2 linked regions of the Drosophila melanogaster genome follow. The protein of the gene in region 1 purifies or fractionates together with the protein of each later gene. This does not show direct contact. Each region holds a gene or a part of one and is shown in the gene's direction. Other genes may lie near its edges. The genes, in order: EMC1 and Cnx99A.

Evidence for each region.
Region 2: the proteins of EMC1 (region 1) and Cnx99A purify together in Drosophila melanogaster (affinity purification with western blotting, with the first as the bait; one study listed by BioGRID). This does not show direct contact.

The regions. Positions count from the first base shown.
Region 1 is NT_033777.3:7,901,887-7,908,950, reverse strand, and holds EMC1 (ER membrane protein complex subunit 1), read left to right. Parts: upstream 1-1,587; 5' UTR 1,588-1,728; coding exon 1,729-1,823; intron 1,824-1,890; coding exon 1,891-2,533; intron 2,534-2,623; coding exon 2,624-2,770; intron 2,771-2,853; coding exon 2,854-3,166; intron 3,167-3,239; coding exon 3,240-3,260; intron 3,261-3,565; coding exon 3,566-3,900; intron 3,901-3,954; coding exon 3,955-4,149; intron 4,150-4,209; coding exon 4,210-4,287; intron 4,288-4,345; coding exon 4,346-4,547; intron 4,548-4,606; coding exon 4,607-4,759; intron 4,760-4,826; coding exon 4,827-4,997; intron 4,998-5,061; coding exon 5,062-5,295; intron 5,296-5,357; coding exon 5,358-5,518; 3' UTR 5,519-5,921; downstream 5,922-7,064. Other genes in the region: Taf7 (TBP-associated factor 7), read right to left, coding at 1-1,067, 1,132-1,326; mRpS9 (mitochondrial ribosomal protein S9), read left to right, coding at 6,319-6,414, 6,497-6,712, 6,771-6,944, 7,056-7,064.
Region 2 is NT_033777.3:29,314,552-29,321,915, reverse strand, and holds Cnx99A (calnexin 99A), read left to right. Parts: upstream 1-2,271; 5' UTR 2,272-2,328; exon of another isoform or gene 2,329-2,382; 5' UTR 2,383-2,541; coding exon 2,542-2,685; intron 2,686-3,303; coding exon 3,304-3,642; intron 3,643-3,775; coding exon 3,776-3,847; intron 3,848-3,946; coding exon 3,947-4,080; intron 4,081-4,404; coding exon 4,405-4,993; intron 4,994-5,055; coding exon 5,056-5,196; intron 5,197-5,286; coding exon of another isoform or gene 5,287-5,412; intron 5,413-5,550; coding exon 5,551-5,679; intron 5,680-5,746; coding exon 5,747-5,971; intron 5,972-6,036; coding exon 6,037-6,081; 3' UTR 6,082-6,662; downstream 6,663-7,364.

The DNA.
Region 1 (7,064 bases):
TGATTGATCTTCTGCTGGACCTGTTGCTGCGTGTACTGCGGCTGCGGTTCGTCTATGAATTCCATGTTCTCGAACTCCTCGCGCTTGGCTAGCATTTGGCTATCGTAGAAGCCACTGGGAGCAGCAAGGTTGGAGCTTGATCCGGCGGCGCTGAGCTTAGGACTGCTGGCTTCATGCCCAAACATAGACTTGCTGAACACGTTCTGCTCCATTTTCACTACGCCCGCTCCAGTATTACTGCCACTAGCGCCAAAGAAGTCCGACATTCGTGAATCATCAGCCGAGAGTCGTGAGGATTCCTCCATCACCCGCCGCTGCATGGTGTTATTGCCCCGATCGGGCTCATCCTCGTCATCCGTGCTGGACACTTCCTCGCCGAAGATGTCGTGGACAGCAACTCCCATGTTCGGCGCCCGGTGTGAGGGAAAGTTGCTGGCTTCGTCATCATCGGACTCCACTTGGAGGTGCCGCTGGGAGCTCATTTCCATGATCGTCTTTTCGCTGGCATGCATGGTGCTTTCGTCCTGCAAATCGTCATCCGCATCGTTGTAGGGTTTGATGTCCGATTGCTCCAGTTCATCCATTGGCTTGTCCTCTTCGTTTATGATTTCATAGTCAACTCTGACAGCCTCGTTGTCAATGCGCAGCAGATGTTTCACTTCCTTCTCAATCTCGGGAGCTTCGACATTCTTTTTCTTCAGAGTTTTGCGGAATCGTCGTTTTCTCACATTCTTGCACGGCGGTGTGATGCCGTGCGGAAAGAGGTATTTTTTGTCCACCTTGTTGGGGTCCTTCTTTTTGTTCTTGTTGGGCGACTCCTTTTCCGTCTCGTCCTCCCGCTCCTCCTTGCAAATGAGTATTTGGCAGATGTCTGCCGACTTGTAGAAGCTCTTGTTGTCAATGGTCTTGTAGCTCTCGACGACGGTGGGCAAATCCACGAGTTTCGTGTACAGTATCTGATCATCTATTCGCACTTCACCGTACCTCAGATCCGGATCCAGTTGGATGGTCAGCCGGTCCTTAATGGTGCCAGCATTTATTGCCTCATGGACCGTGTCCGCCAGTTCCTGCGGAGAATCCGTCAATTTGCACGGCTTGTTGTGATGTTTGTTTGTGCTATGTATGGCTTACCTTCGGCACGCGCATGATAAACTGGCTCTCCAGCTCTACGCCATCATCCCGGGCCTTGTGCTCCGCTTGCTTAACCTTGTCGCTCTTCTTTTCAAACATTTCAATGCGATTTTTCCAGAAAAATACAACTTCTTTTGAAGACACTAAATGCTCATTAGAGATGGGAGTTAGATGGGGCACCGCTAGTGATGGCATTCACGTCACAGTTATCGCTGCGAGCACGACGAATATTTAAAATGGTTCACACTGCAGCCGCATCTGCAGAAATATAAGCCCTGTATACCGCAAAATGGCAAGGCATTTTATTTTTTAATCTTTTTACCAACAAATTTAATCATAAAGGTGAAGACCGAATGGGTTTGCCGTACGTTGAAAGGGGATGAGCCGCACTGCTTTGAATATCGGATGTGAGTCCGCTGAACTATCGATAAGGCAATCGTCAGCCAACCCTGCTCCAATTTCGTCTTCTCATCCCTTTTGCCATGACGGAAAACACGAATTGATGTGGATTTCTACTAATTTATAACATAAAAATACGTCAAAAGTTGAACAATCAGAGATCGAGCTAGTCGAAGGTCAGCAAGCAAGGCGGACGACATGCAGGAGAAGTGGTTACTGCCCGCACTTTCGCTGGCGCTCCTATTGGGCACCTGCTCGGCGCTCTACGAAGACCAGATCAAAAAGTTCGACTGGTGAGTGTGGTACGATATCTGACCATTGACCCGGCGCTAATACGGCGGATATGTGCGGCTTTTGCAGGCGAGGCGTCAATGTGGGAGCACTGAAGCAGTCTCGCGTCGACCTCAACCATTTTCAGCCGCGGATTCTGGTCACCACCTATGAGGGAGTGGTGGCCAGTCTGTGCGTAAAGACCGGCGAATTGGTGTGGCGGCAGGTGCTCGAGCAGAAGCCGCGCGGCGACGTCAAGCTGCTCCAGGTGAGCGGATTCGCCGATGACAGCAGCGACACGGCCGCCGCTCCGATGGGCAGCAACATGGGCTTCGACATGCTCACCGTTCAGGGACACGCTCCTGCTTTGGTGCGCGGCTGGAACACCAATATGGGTGCCCTTGAGTGGGAGTGGTCCATCATGCCCATGAACACGGAGCGGGCCCAGGACGCCATGTGGATCTACAGCAAATCCGTGCTATATCACGTGCTGCCTGCCTGGCGGAGCCACCTCGAGGTGACGGCGTATTTCGCCAGCTCGGGCCACAGCACTGGCAGCACCAGCAAGGTAATAGCTCCTTGGATCACCTCAGAGAGCTGCACCCTTAGCGGCACCTTCTACGTTTGTACGGACGGAAAGCAGTTGATTAGTTTGGATCTCGTTTCCAAAAGCGGTCAAGTAATCCGTACTTCGCTCGAGGCGGAGCCGAAGGGAAAAACTCAGGCCTTGACGGTGAGGAAAAAACTTTGCTATTGCTTTTATTGAAAGTGAAGTAATAGATTGTTGTAAGTGAAGTTATAATTCGTCCAAACATTTCTATAGGGTCTGAATGGTGTTGTGATTGTGGATGGGAAGCCAATTAGTGTCAACAAGGACCAATCGATCTGCGGTGATCTGCGAAGCTCCAGCTTCGCCGTGGGCAGCTTTAACTATCGCAAAGTCTTGGCCTATGCAGATCTGTCCTCTGGAGTACGTTTAAACTTATATTTACTGTTCTATTCTACTATTTCTATGTGAAAACTAATTGTTTCTTTCCCTGTGCGTATGAACAGATCCTCAGGATCAATGCTCTGTATTTGGATAACTGTGCACCGGCAGCGGAGTTGGAGCAGAGTCTGCCATTCCCCGAGCATTTTGGCACTCCGTCGCTGAGCAACTTCGACTGTAAGCAGAAGCGCAATGGCGAGGGCAAGAACTGTCTGTTTTTGTTTAGCAGCACCTCGGAGTCCATCGTGGCAGTGCAGCATGGACGCGTTCGTTGGTCGCGCGAGGAGTCGCTGGCAAATGTGATCGACTCGCAGTTTGTGGATCTACCGCTTGCCGATACTGAGGGCACATTGGAGAACGAGATGAAGGGCAAGGCCGGTGAGTGTACTTGACTTATGCACTACTTTAAGGTGAACTCATAAAATTTATTATTGAAAATTCATACCAAAAGGGGATTTCACAAGTTTTGAGAGTAAGTGAACGTTCACAGCAAACTAATCATGCAATATTGTTTGTTACATGTTTATCACTTTTAATTTTGTGTTTTTTTTTTTAATGTTTATTGAACGTACCACTAATCTAAAAACGAATGTTTACTAACAAATTCAAGCATGCTTCGCTAGTTTAAAGCTAAGTGTATTACTTTTACTTTTTTACTGTCCAATAATTAATTTCCAATGTAAACTAAAATATGAAATATCTTTGGTATATCGTTAATGTTTAAAGATCATATTAAATTGTTCTTTACTAATATTTATGTTTTCACCACGTAAACAGGAGACATTGCCAGTGCCTTTTTGCGTCGCATCACCACTCAAGCTGTTCAGATTCGGAGCTTGTTCCTTCATGTTATCGGACTGGGTCCTCCACCTACAGACACCCAGCGAGCCGGCTTGGTCAGAGACTCCTTTGGCCTCCACAAGATGCTGGTTTTACTGACGCGTGCTGGAAAGATTTTTGGCATTGACAATGTCTCTGGGAAACATCACTGGCAGCTGCATCTTCCCAATGTTATTGGATTCGCTAACGACGAACAGATGCGTCTGATTGTCCAGCGCTCGGCCAAACACTTTCCACTTCAGCCGTTGTGCACTATTTTGGGCAAGAATGCTGTAGGTCTGACTGACAAATCGCATAGTTCCCACGCTAATTCTAATCGTTTATAGGTCAGCGGCAATGGTGTGCTCTATCGTTTTAATCCTATTACCGGCAAAGTAGCCGAAGGTGGCCTTGTTCAGCTGGACTACAGAATTAAGCAGCTTTCGTTGCTGGGAGAAACGGAAAAGGACTTTCTGAAGGGCATTCTGTTACTGGATGCTTCGAATAAGGTACATGTTTATCCCGAACATGCGGCCCCACTGGTAAGATATAAAATTCTATGATATATCAATAGAGTTGAAAATCTTTACATGCACGTACAGGCTGATGGCATGTATCTGTACACCGCCGATTTGAAAACTGCAGAGCTGGCCGGCTACTTTGTTAAATATGCGGGCGGGGTAAGTAATGCAGCCTTTTAATATGAAAGCACTTAACTTATTAAACCATTTCCGTTAGCAACTGTCCAGCACGCACATCTGGAATGCTCGCCTGGGCGGCCACAATTCCGAGCAGCAGATTATCGGCGTTGCCGGCAAGAATCCCATCGAGCATGTCCACTCCCAGGGACGTGTGCTGGGCGATCGATCGGTGCTGTACAAGTACATCAACCCTAATCTAGTGGCTTTCGTCACACAGGCACCGGATTCCACACACAAATGTGAGTCTGCATGCGCTTCGTGTAATTAAGCATTCATTTAAATGGCACTTACTCCATAGCCGTGCTAAATTTGTATCTGGTTGATGTGGTCTCCGGCTCTGTGGTTTTCACCATGACGCATCGTAAGGTCCGTGCACCACTGAGCATTGTCCACTCCGAAAACTGGCTTGCCTACTCCTACTTCAACGAGAAATTGCGTCGCACAGAGATTAGTAAGTTACAACAGCGATAGCCATTGACAAGTACCTATATTTACTAAACTTTATTTACTTGCTACAGCCACAATCGAACTGTACGAGGGCAAGAGTCAGGCAAACAGCAGTGTTTGGAGTTCCTTGCAAGCTCCGCCAATGCCCCTCGTGGAGCGCCAGTCTTATATACTGCCCACAATAGTTGAGGCTCTGCGGGAAACTATCACGGAGCGCGGAATCACCAACAAGCATGTGCTTAGTGAGCATTAACGAAAGTAATTTGAACGCCAAATAGGATGCTAACCATTTGTCATTAATTCTAGTCGGCACTGCCAGTGGTTCCATTGTGGAAATGCCGTGGCATTTGCTGGATCCCCGACGTCCTATCGCATCCACGACTCAGGGACGTGAAGAAGGAGCCATCCCCTACATACCCGAGCTGCCTTTGCCAACAGAGAGCCACATAAATTACAACCAGACGGTTGCCCGTCTGCGTAATATTTACACCGCGCCCAGTGGCTTGGAGAGTACCTGTCTAGTCGTTGCTACGGGCTTAGGTAAGGGAGATTTATCAAACGCGATTTTGGTTAAAGCACTGTAAACCATTTTTATTTGACAGATTTGTTCGTTACGCGCGTGGCGCCATCAAAGACGTTCGACTTGCTGAAGGAGGACTTTGATTATATTCTCATTTCCATAGTGCTAGTCGCGCTCACATCAGGCTCGTTGATTGTTAAGCATTTAGCGTCGCGTAAATTGCTCAAGCAGGCGTGGAAATAGGCTTGGCATTATTATTAAATAATTGCTTTAAATATATATAAATTGTACTGCGACCAAATACCACAAGGGAGGATGGAATGATGATGAGAGAATGTAAATCGGCGAGATACTATTGATATATATAACAGAATTCTGATAGCTGCATTACATCCCACAATGCGAATAAAACCTTTTATCAACGCTAAGCCTAGGCAATTATTTATAACTAATTATATAGCGTTAAACATCAAATAACTATAATTAGCTGTTGAAAGGTTTTCATTGCATGTTCTGTTCCTTTGATTTGTGTTCGTTTAAATTTCCATTTGAAAATATCAGCATTGAAAGAGTGTTTAAAAAGTATAGTCAATAAAAGCATTTGTAAAGGTGGACAACGGTAAAGTAAATAAACAATTTTTTCATCAGAATTAACTGATTGTTGGGATTAATTAGGAGGTGGATTCAAAAAATTTTTGATAATTAAAACAAAAAATATAAATAATAAAAATACAATTAAATCAAAAATTCATAGCGTCTATTACCTGATTTATTTAGGACAATTTTTTTTAGAATTTCCTGTAAAGTATAAAAGGAATTATTATTATAATACTTATCTCAAAAATGAAGTAATTTTCACCGTCTTATAACATTGTAAGAAAGTTGTGGTTTTATAGCTTAATAAATTAAAAATACAAATAAAAAAATTTTTAAATGGGCGCCAAAAATCAGCTGAAAGCTTGTGTGTTTTCCAACACCGACCATCCAACTTTAACCGACTGAAACATATGTTTATTCTCTTCTTCTTCCGCAAAATTGAAAGGATGGCACTGCGTGTTTTTGGCTTAAATATAGTAAAAAATAACAGGAATCTGCTGCAAAATGCATGCAAATCCAGGGCACCGATGCCATGCTACATGGTTGGTACAATAGTCAAGTCAATAGACTTGACACTTTTCACTGTTCCCAATTGTGAGACCAAACGTTTGCATAACCTTTCAGGCAGCGGCTCCATTTGCCACCGATGTGACCGTCCAGGCTGCTCCGGCGGCTGTCCAGAAGCAAAGGGTGAGCAAGGCCATGCGGGCGTACCTGAAAAGAGCCACCGAACACGACGAGTTCATGAAGACCCAGCACCTGGAGTTCCAGATCGGAAAGCGGCACCTGGCCAACATGATGGGCGCCGATGCGGAGACGTTTACCCAGGAGGACATAGACGTGAGATATTTGGCTATGAAAATTTTAAGGGGCTATTTTACCTCATTATCAATTACAGGAGGCGATATCCTATCTGTTCCCTTCCGGATTGTACGACCAAAAGGCCCGGCCGGCTATGAAGTCACCCGAGGTTGTCTTCCCCGCCCGCAAGGCTGCGGAATTCGATGAGACGGGCAGACCATTCCACAGCATGTTCTACACCGGCAAACCCAACTTCTTCCAACTGCTTCATGTGAGTAATTGCGCAACTTGGGAACTTCATTACTTAAGAAAGAAGAATGATGAATTAATTTTAAGTGGTTTGGTAGAAAGGTATTAACTACTTTTCCTTTTTAATTACCAGGACATTGTA
Region 2 (7,364 bases), about 21 Mb from region 1:
ATTTTCCCACATTTACTGTACAGTGGAACATCGCCGTCGTGTGCAGGAATCCGGCTGAAGTGTTGGTAAGCTGGCCTCGTTGTTAATAGAACACTTGACAACACTGGCTGTTTATGCTCAGGTGGGGCGTTTTAAAAAGCTGCATGTGTGAGTGTTGGAGGTGTGCTTGTGTCTGTTTATGTAGTACCCTCATTAACTGTCATTACACAATTTCCATAAAAAAAAAAGAAACGTCTGTGCGCACGTGTTTAGTTTTCTGCAGTCCGGAGGCTCCAACAAAAGTTGCCTCTTCTTCCGAACACACCTACCCCCCGCCCCCCACTATTATGTATATGCACCACCCACCCACATGTGTGCTTCCGAGTCTTTGTTTGTCTTTAGAAAAAAACTTTTTAAATTGTGTTAAATATTCCATTAAACAGAAAGCTTTTTGTATGCAGTTGCAAACAAAAAAAAAGAAAGAAAAACTGTCAGTGGCAGCAATAGAAGCAGCAGCAGAATTGCGCGTGCCGCAGATAAGTTGCCACAGTTAAAGGATGTGCACTGGGAAAAATCTGTTAATCTTGAATATTATATATGTACCTGTTCATTTGTGTGGAAAATGTGCGTTTCCTTCAATGCTTCTAATTTGTAATAATTTTATTGTTATTTTCTTAAATTTATACACCTATTTTCTCAGCACAAAGAAGGCGTGGCAACGAATGGACCCCACCCACACAAATCCTGCCAATAAGTTAGGAATTTTTATTATAATTTTATGCTCAAATGCATGCCACTTTATTTTTTAGAGCCACGCGTGGCAAAGGGAAACTTTTGCCGCCAGCCATCAAGTTTATTGGGGGGCTTAGCCATTCCCGTTGTGGGGCATTAATTGAGCCGCCGGGCTTTTAAAATAATTGCAACATGCAAGACTACTTTCATGCCACGGAGTGTTTGATTCAGATATGTCCAGTGGAAAATAAATGTATGCCAATATTTCAGTGGAAATCGCACATCGCACAAATATTAATTTCAATATGGTCGGCGAGGGAAAATAACAAAATACTAGAGTGGTGCCTGCTACGAGTCCTAGATAATCCTAATTCCGATTGAAATTAATTTAAAAATTAGCATACATAATTAACAAAAATAGGCTTTAACTGGTTTGCGAATTTCCGTGCAAATTTATTAAGGCAAAACTGTCAATATGGAAATTACGTATTTTCTTAGACGTTTTTCGTCACTACTTGGCTCAAAATAGTCAGAAATCTACGAAACTAACTTTTTTGTACATCTTTTGACCTAAACTAACAGGGCATATAACTTTTTGACCGTTTTTCCAAAATCCATATTTTGGCCATTTTTGAATTTTTTGTAAGGGGTACCATCATCATTTTTTGCAAAATTTGGCTCAAAATTTTTTTTCCAAAATTTGATTTTGGTTGGAAGGGGAGTTCGATTACGAGTCCAACAAGGTATGACAATCCATATTTCGGACAATATTTCTCAAGTTATGGCTGAAAAACGATTATTTTATGGTGGTTTATGCGAATTTATATGTCTCAAATGAAAACATGCAGCTTTCTTTCCCCTTGTAACCATTTATTCTTTATTTATAACATTGTATTTGTTTATATATTTCATTCTGTATTATGATCATGTATTAATTATGATTAGCAGTGAAAAGTATGCAACATTCAATTAGCGTCTGGGGGTAAGTCTGTACTACAAACTTATCGGAGTTCCAAACCCTGTAACGACGATTGGAGTGAGGCATATCGATATGCTTAAGGTAACGATTACGATGATGTTTTTATTATTTGATCAACGCACTGTTACCCATGCGGCAACTTAATTTGATCTGCTTAAATTATTTTATTTTACAATGTGTCTTGGTTACTTAAGACTAACAGATTTTTAATCCTAAAAATGATAGGGAGAATTATAATAGTTGATATAACATAGTAATTATTATTTATTTGATTATTCTAATGAATTTTAAAACTAAGACTTTCTAGGTCAAAACCAGGTTAGGGAGGTCATGAGGGTGGTTTTAAGGTAACAAAAGTATTCTTAATTTATTAAATAGCAAATAAGTATATAAAATTAATAAATCTGACATATTCCTTACTTTTATTTAGCACAAACATAATCATCAAATCAATTATATTCTGGTCCCGCTGAAAGTGTGCTCTTCCTAAGAACGTGCAATTATTAAAGATTCTAGCTTGAGTAAGTATCTTAAAAACTATATATACCCTACGGTAGGGTACAACGCAACGCGACAGTGTGACCAGTTGTCCTTTGCGGCGGCATACCAAAGCAGGCGAAGAGGAAGCACAGAACACAGTAGGCAGCGCAGCAGAGAAAATGTATAATTTACATTAATTTAATTACAAATAGTTCGTCGTGCCAGATCTCGATTCTTGTTATTCCGCAACAGACCGCAGTGGGGGAAAACTGTTGAAAAGCACAGCGCGCACAAGTGAGTCCACCACCTGGTTTTCCGCGGATACTAAATCCCAGCCAGGCAGCCAGCGAGCGAGCGAAAAGTGGGTGAAAATGGCGTGGAAAATGGGAGGAAACCGGGCCGCAACGCTGGCGTTGCTCTTCGCCAGCAGTTTGCTGCTGCTGAGTGCGGCCAATGCCGCCGATTTGGACACGGAGTCGGACGACTTCGAGGATGGTTATGTGGAGGATGTGCAGGTGAGTAGTTGGTCCGACGATGCGGTTCGTAAGATAAAAAAAACGAGAGAAAAAAGTACACGTCAGTGGAAGCTACTAGAAGAAAAGGCGAAACGCTATTGCTGTGAGGGTAGGGGAAGGTGGTTGTGGGGGAGGGGGGTGTTGGTGCGGCCGGCTTCTTCGCTTTATGACCCACAATTAGCATGCGAGTGTGTCTCACTTTTCCAGCAACAAATCCGAATGCGAGGGAAAATAAAACTGTTTACCAACAGACGAGGTCAAGCAGATAGCAACTCCCCATGGCAGCACCAAGAATGCGCTAATCTGTTGCTCCACAGGTTACATCAGAGGTTTATTGAGCAGAGCTTCTATTTAACGTGCTTGTTTCTCTAGAAATTATGCCAGTCATTTATGTTTCTAGGGGAGTTACTGCTACAGATGAGGTCAAGCTAAGAGCAACATAAAACATGTTATTATATAGCTATAACTAGTCTGGCGGGCCCAGGTGTAGCGCTCTCCAATTCAAACCCATGCTGGCCACCCATCTTTCTCTCCCTCTCTTTATCACTTTCCCCACTGACAACCGCGTGCTTCGGATTTTATGGCACCTTATCTAATGTTTCCACATATGCTTTGCAGGAGGAGCCCGCCGTCATCGGTGGCGATGAGAAGCTGGCCTACGAGAGCCCGGTTATCGATGCCAAGAAGTTCCACTTCGCGGATCACTTCGACGACGTGGAGGAGTCCAGGAAGAGGTGGGTGCTGTCGCAGGCCAAGAAGGACGACATCGCCGAGGAGATCTCCAAGTACGACGGCATCTGGAACTGGGAGTCGCCGCAGCGCATCGTTTGGGCTAACGACTTGGGTCTGGTGCTCAAGTCGAAGGCCAAACACGCGGCCATAGCCGCCCCCCTCCGCAAACCGTTCGAGTTCAAGTCGGACAAGCCGCTGGTGGTGCAGTACGAGGTCACGTTGCAGGTTCGTCACCTAGCGAAACGCTCTGGGATTGCATCAGCCGCCGGGCAAATCCAATTAATACCCGCTTACTGACCCAATTCTCGTTCTCCCCCGGCTTATTCTCGTTTTTTTGTTTTTGTTTTTTTGTTTTTAGGAGGGTCAGGAGTGCGGTGGCTCGTATCTGAAGCTTTTGTCCGCCGGAAAAGACACGGAGCAACTAAAAGCGGTAAGTGCGGGGGCCAATGCCCTCATAGATCACACTCGCCTGAACCCCAAAGAACATACATCGTAAACAACCCCCGAAACCGAATCTGTTTACTCGTAGTTCAATGACAAGACACCCTATACCATCATGTTTGGACCGGACAAGTGCGGCAACGATGTGAAAATGCACTTCATATTCCGGCACGTCAATCCAATTAATGGCACCATCACCGAGAAGCACTGCAACAAGCCAAAGTGAGTCCATTAAATGAACGCAACTCTTTGGCAGATTGGAAATGAGCAGCTCGTTCAAGCGTTATCGCTATCAATAGAATCACCACTCTAACCATCTTGCTTGAAAGTTTCCGAGCGTTGTATAGAAACAAAATTGGTGTTCGACATTGCGCATACGTGTAATATCTCCGAAATCACCTTTGCTCACCTTTATCACCCGTTTGGCTCTTCGTCACCGATGGTGGACTATTGCCCCCATTGATGAGCTGAATTTCTGAAGAGGCAGATAAACCGTATATTTATAATCCCATCGATGAATAATATTCTTTTGTTCTTTGCTTTCAGGAACCGTTTGGAAGAGCCATTCAAGGACAAGCTACCCCATCTCTACCAGCTGGTGGTCCGTCCCGATAACAGCTTTGAGATTCGCGTTGACCACAAGATCATCAATGAGGGTTCCCTGCTAACCGATTTCAAGCCACCAGTCAACCCGCCGGCAGAGATCGACGACCCCAATGACCACAAGCCCGAATCGTGGGATGAGCGAGAGAAGATCCCAGATCCCACTGCCCACAAGCCCGAGGATTGGGATGAGGATGCTCCACCCCAGTTGCCCGATACCGATGCCGTCATGCCCAATGGCTGGCTCGAAGATGAGCCCGACATGATTTTCGATCCAACTGCCACCAAACCCGAGGATTGGGATGCCGAAATCGATGGCGAGTGGGAGGCTCCATTGGTGGACAATCCAGTGTGCGAGAAGGCTCCCGGCTGTGGCAAGTGGAAGGCTCCGCTCATCCCCAATCCCAACTACAAGGGCAAGTGGCGTGCACCAATGATCGAGAACCCCAACTACCAGGGCAAGTGGGCACCCAGGAAGATTCCCAATCCAGACTTCTTTGAGGATCTGAAGCCCTTCCAAATGACGCCCATCGTAAGTGCAATTTGCATGGCTTTCGTTGTCCACTTTGCTATAGCCAAACTAACTCTATTTAGAGCGCTGTGGGTCTGGAACTGTGGTCCATGTCCAGCGATATTCTCTTCGACAACCTAATCATCACGGACGACGTGGAGGTGGCCCGTGACTTTGCCGCCAACAGCTTCGACATCAAGCGTCGCTACATCGATCGTGAATCGGTAAGTTTAAAACCCCTAACCTCTTCCGTTTTCCCTTCACAAATAAACACAGGGATTCGTAATCGAGAGACTTCTCTATCCAATTCGAAGAAAACCTTCTGGCACCGCCTAATGCGCCGCATGAACTACAAGCCCGGCTGGTGGGCCCTGTACTTCGTGTACCTGCTCATTCCGGCCAGTTGTTATGTCTTCTATCTCTACCGACGCGCCAAAGAGGTTGGCTCCGGTCTTGTCTTACGCTTTCAAATTTTAATTAGAAGTGCCTACAGTACAACCACATGAACACCTCTCATATTTGCCCTGCACCGTGCACCTGTAATTGCTACTGCTATTCTTTGGCTTTCTCATTAATAGGACTCATTCGTGAATAAGGTAGTCGAGCTAGCCAAGGCCAATCCCTCGATCTGGGGCATTGGCTTGGTGGCCATTGTGGCGCTGGTTGCCCTCACCATCTACTGTAGATTTGGTACCGCTAAGAGTCAGGTAATGATGCTCGAGCTTTCACTTGAGATCTTCATAAGGAATTTACTAATCCCACTTTTGCTATTAGGACTCGGCTGCCAAAAAGGCTGCTGCCGAGGCCAAGAAGTCCGACGATCCTCAGCCCGACGATGAGCCCGAGGCCGAGGAGGAGAGCGACGAAAGGGCCGCTGGCGATACCAGCAAGGAGAGCACACCGCTGTCCGCTAGTCCCAAGAAGAACCAAAAGTCTGATTTAGATGATAACGAAGAGGAGTCCAAGGCGGCGGAGAGCCGAGAGCCCGCACAGACTGAGGTGCGTTCAAAAATAAGCTTGCTTGTGTCCACCACCAGAACTAATCTCAACGTTATTCTCTTTAGGAATCTAACACAAAAACACGCAAGCGTCAAGCGCGCAAGGAGTAAGCGGGCATCCCCACATGCCGAATCCGAAAACAAACACTGCAACTCTAAAGAAAAAAAAAAACTTAATCCAATTCCAAAAGCCAGCGGTTGCGAAGCAGCAACAACCAAAATGTTTGTTCGCCAAGGCAGCCGACATCTCCCACAAACTACACACACACACCACACACACACTCGTTTCGGTTTAGTCAACTCTGTACGTACTTTTGCCGTATTATCGTTGCATTTCTGTCGTGTTCGACCCTCTGTCGTCCCCATATCTCCTATACATATATAGCACCCTTACACAGAGCCAGCCGCGATGGCACCGCTTTATAGTGTTTAGTTGGAGTGATGATCCTCCTTTTGATTTGTGTAAAAATGGAAAACACCAACTAGACAATTGAGGGAAACAAATCAACTACAACTGAAACTAAAGCAGCAAACAAAGAGGGAACTAAAGCAGATAAATCTAATGGCAAGCATCTAGTTTAATATTATGTAATTTAAACGAAATTGAATAGTATGTTAGTTATACTCAAGTTTCCATTTTCATTTGTACCGATGAAAATTTACAGCGAAAAATAAAACTAAATGTCAAAACCAAAGCAAGAGCCTTTGAATCCAACCAACTGCCAGCAGCTAAGCGAAAGGACTGAGCCAAGTCCTGTCGCACAGGTCCTGATTCCAACCCCCATGCAGCCATACCACATGGGTGTTAATTTAAATGTCAACCCCTGATGTTGGGATAGATCAGATTCGAATCGGATTTATTATGCTCGATGGTGCGTGGGGCGCCGACCAGACCAGACCAGACCAGACACATTGCATTCGTGCGGTTTTGGGGCATTTGCCAAATGCCAAATGCCAAAATGTTTTCATTATTTGGCCGATTGGATCGATCTGGTATAGAATACATTTAACAATCATTTTGCGAGTCAAGAAAGAAGGAAATCCCCGCCAATAGAATTCATTTTCAGCAAATGATACCATCATGTATTAGAGGCCTCCTTTTTGTCGCTCTGAATAATTCAATTCAATTTCCTAAGCTCATAAATATGCCAAATCAGACAGACAGTCCTCGTTAATGGAATTGTTATGACAACAGTAAGCCGACGACGATTTGCATTCGCCAAAAGGAGGAGTTGGGATGTCTCAGTCAGTCACACACAGGCGGGACATTCGAAATTAGATTTATGTCCGCCAAACAGATGTGAAACTCTTTCCTTCGATTGCCCAAAACTCCAAGGGCTATTCAATAAAAAGATTAAACGATTTGCCCGATGTCTGGCGGCCTCACTTAAAAG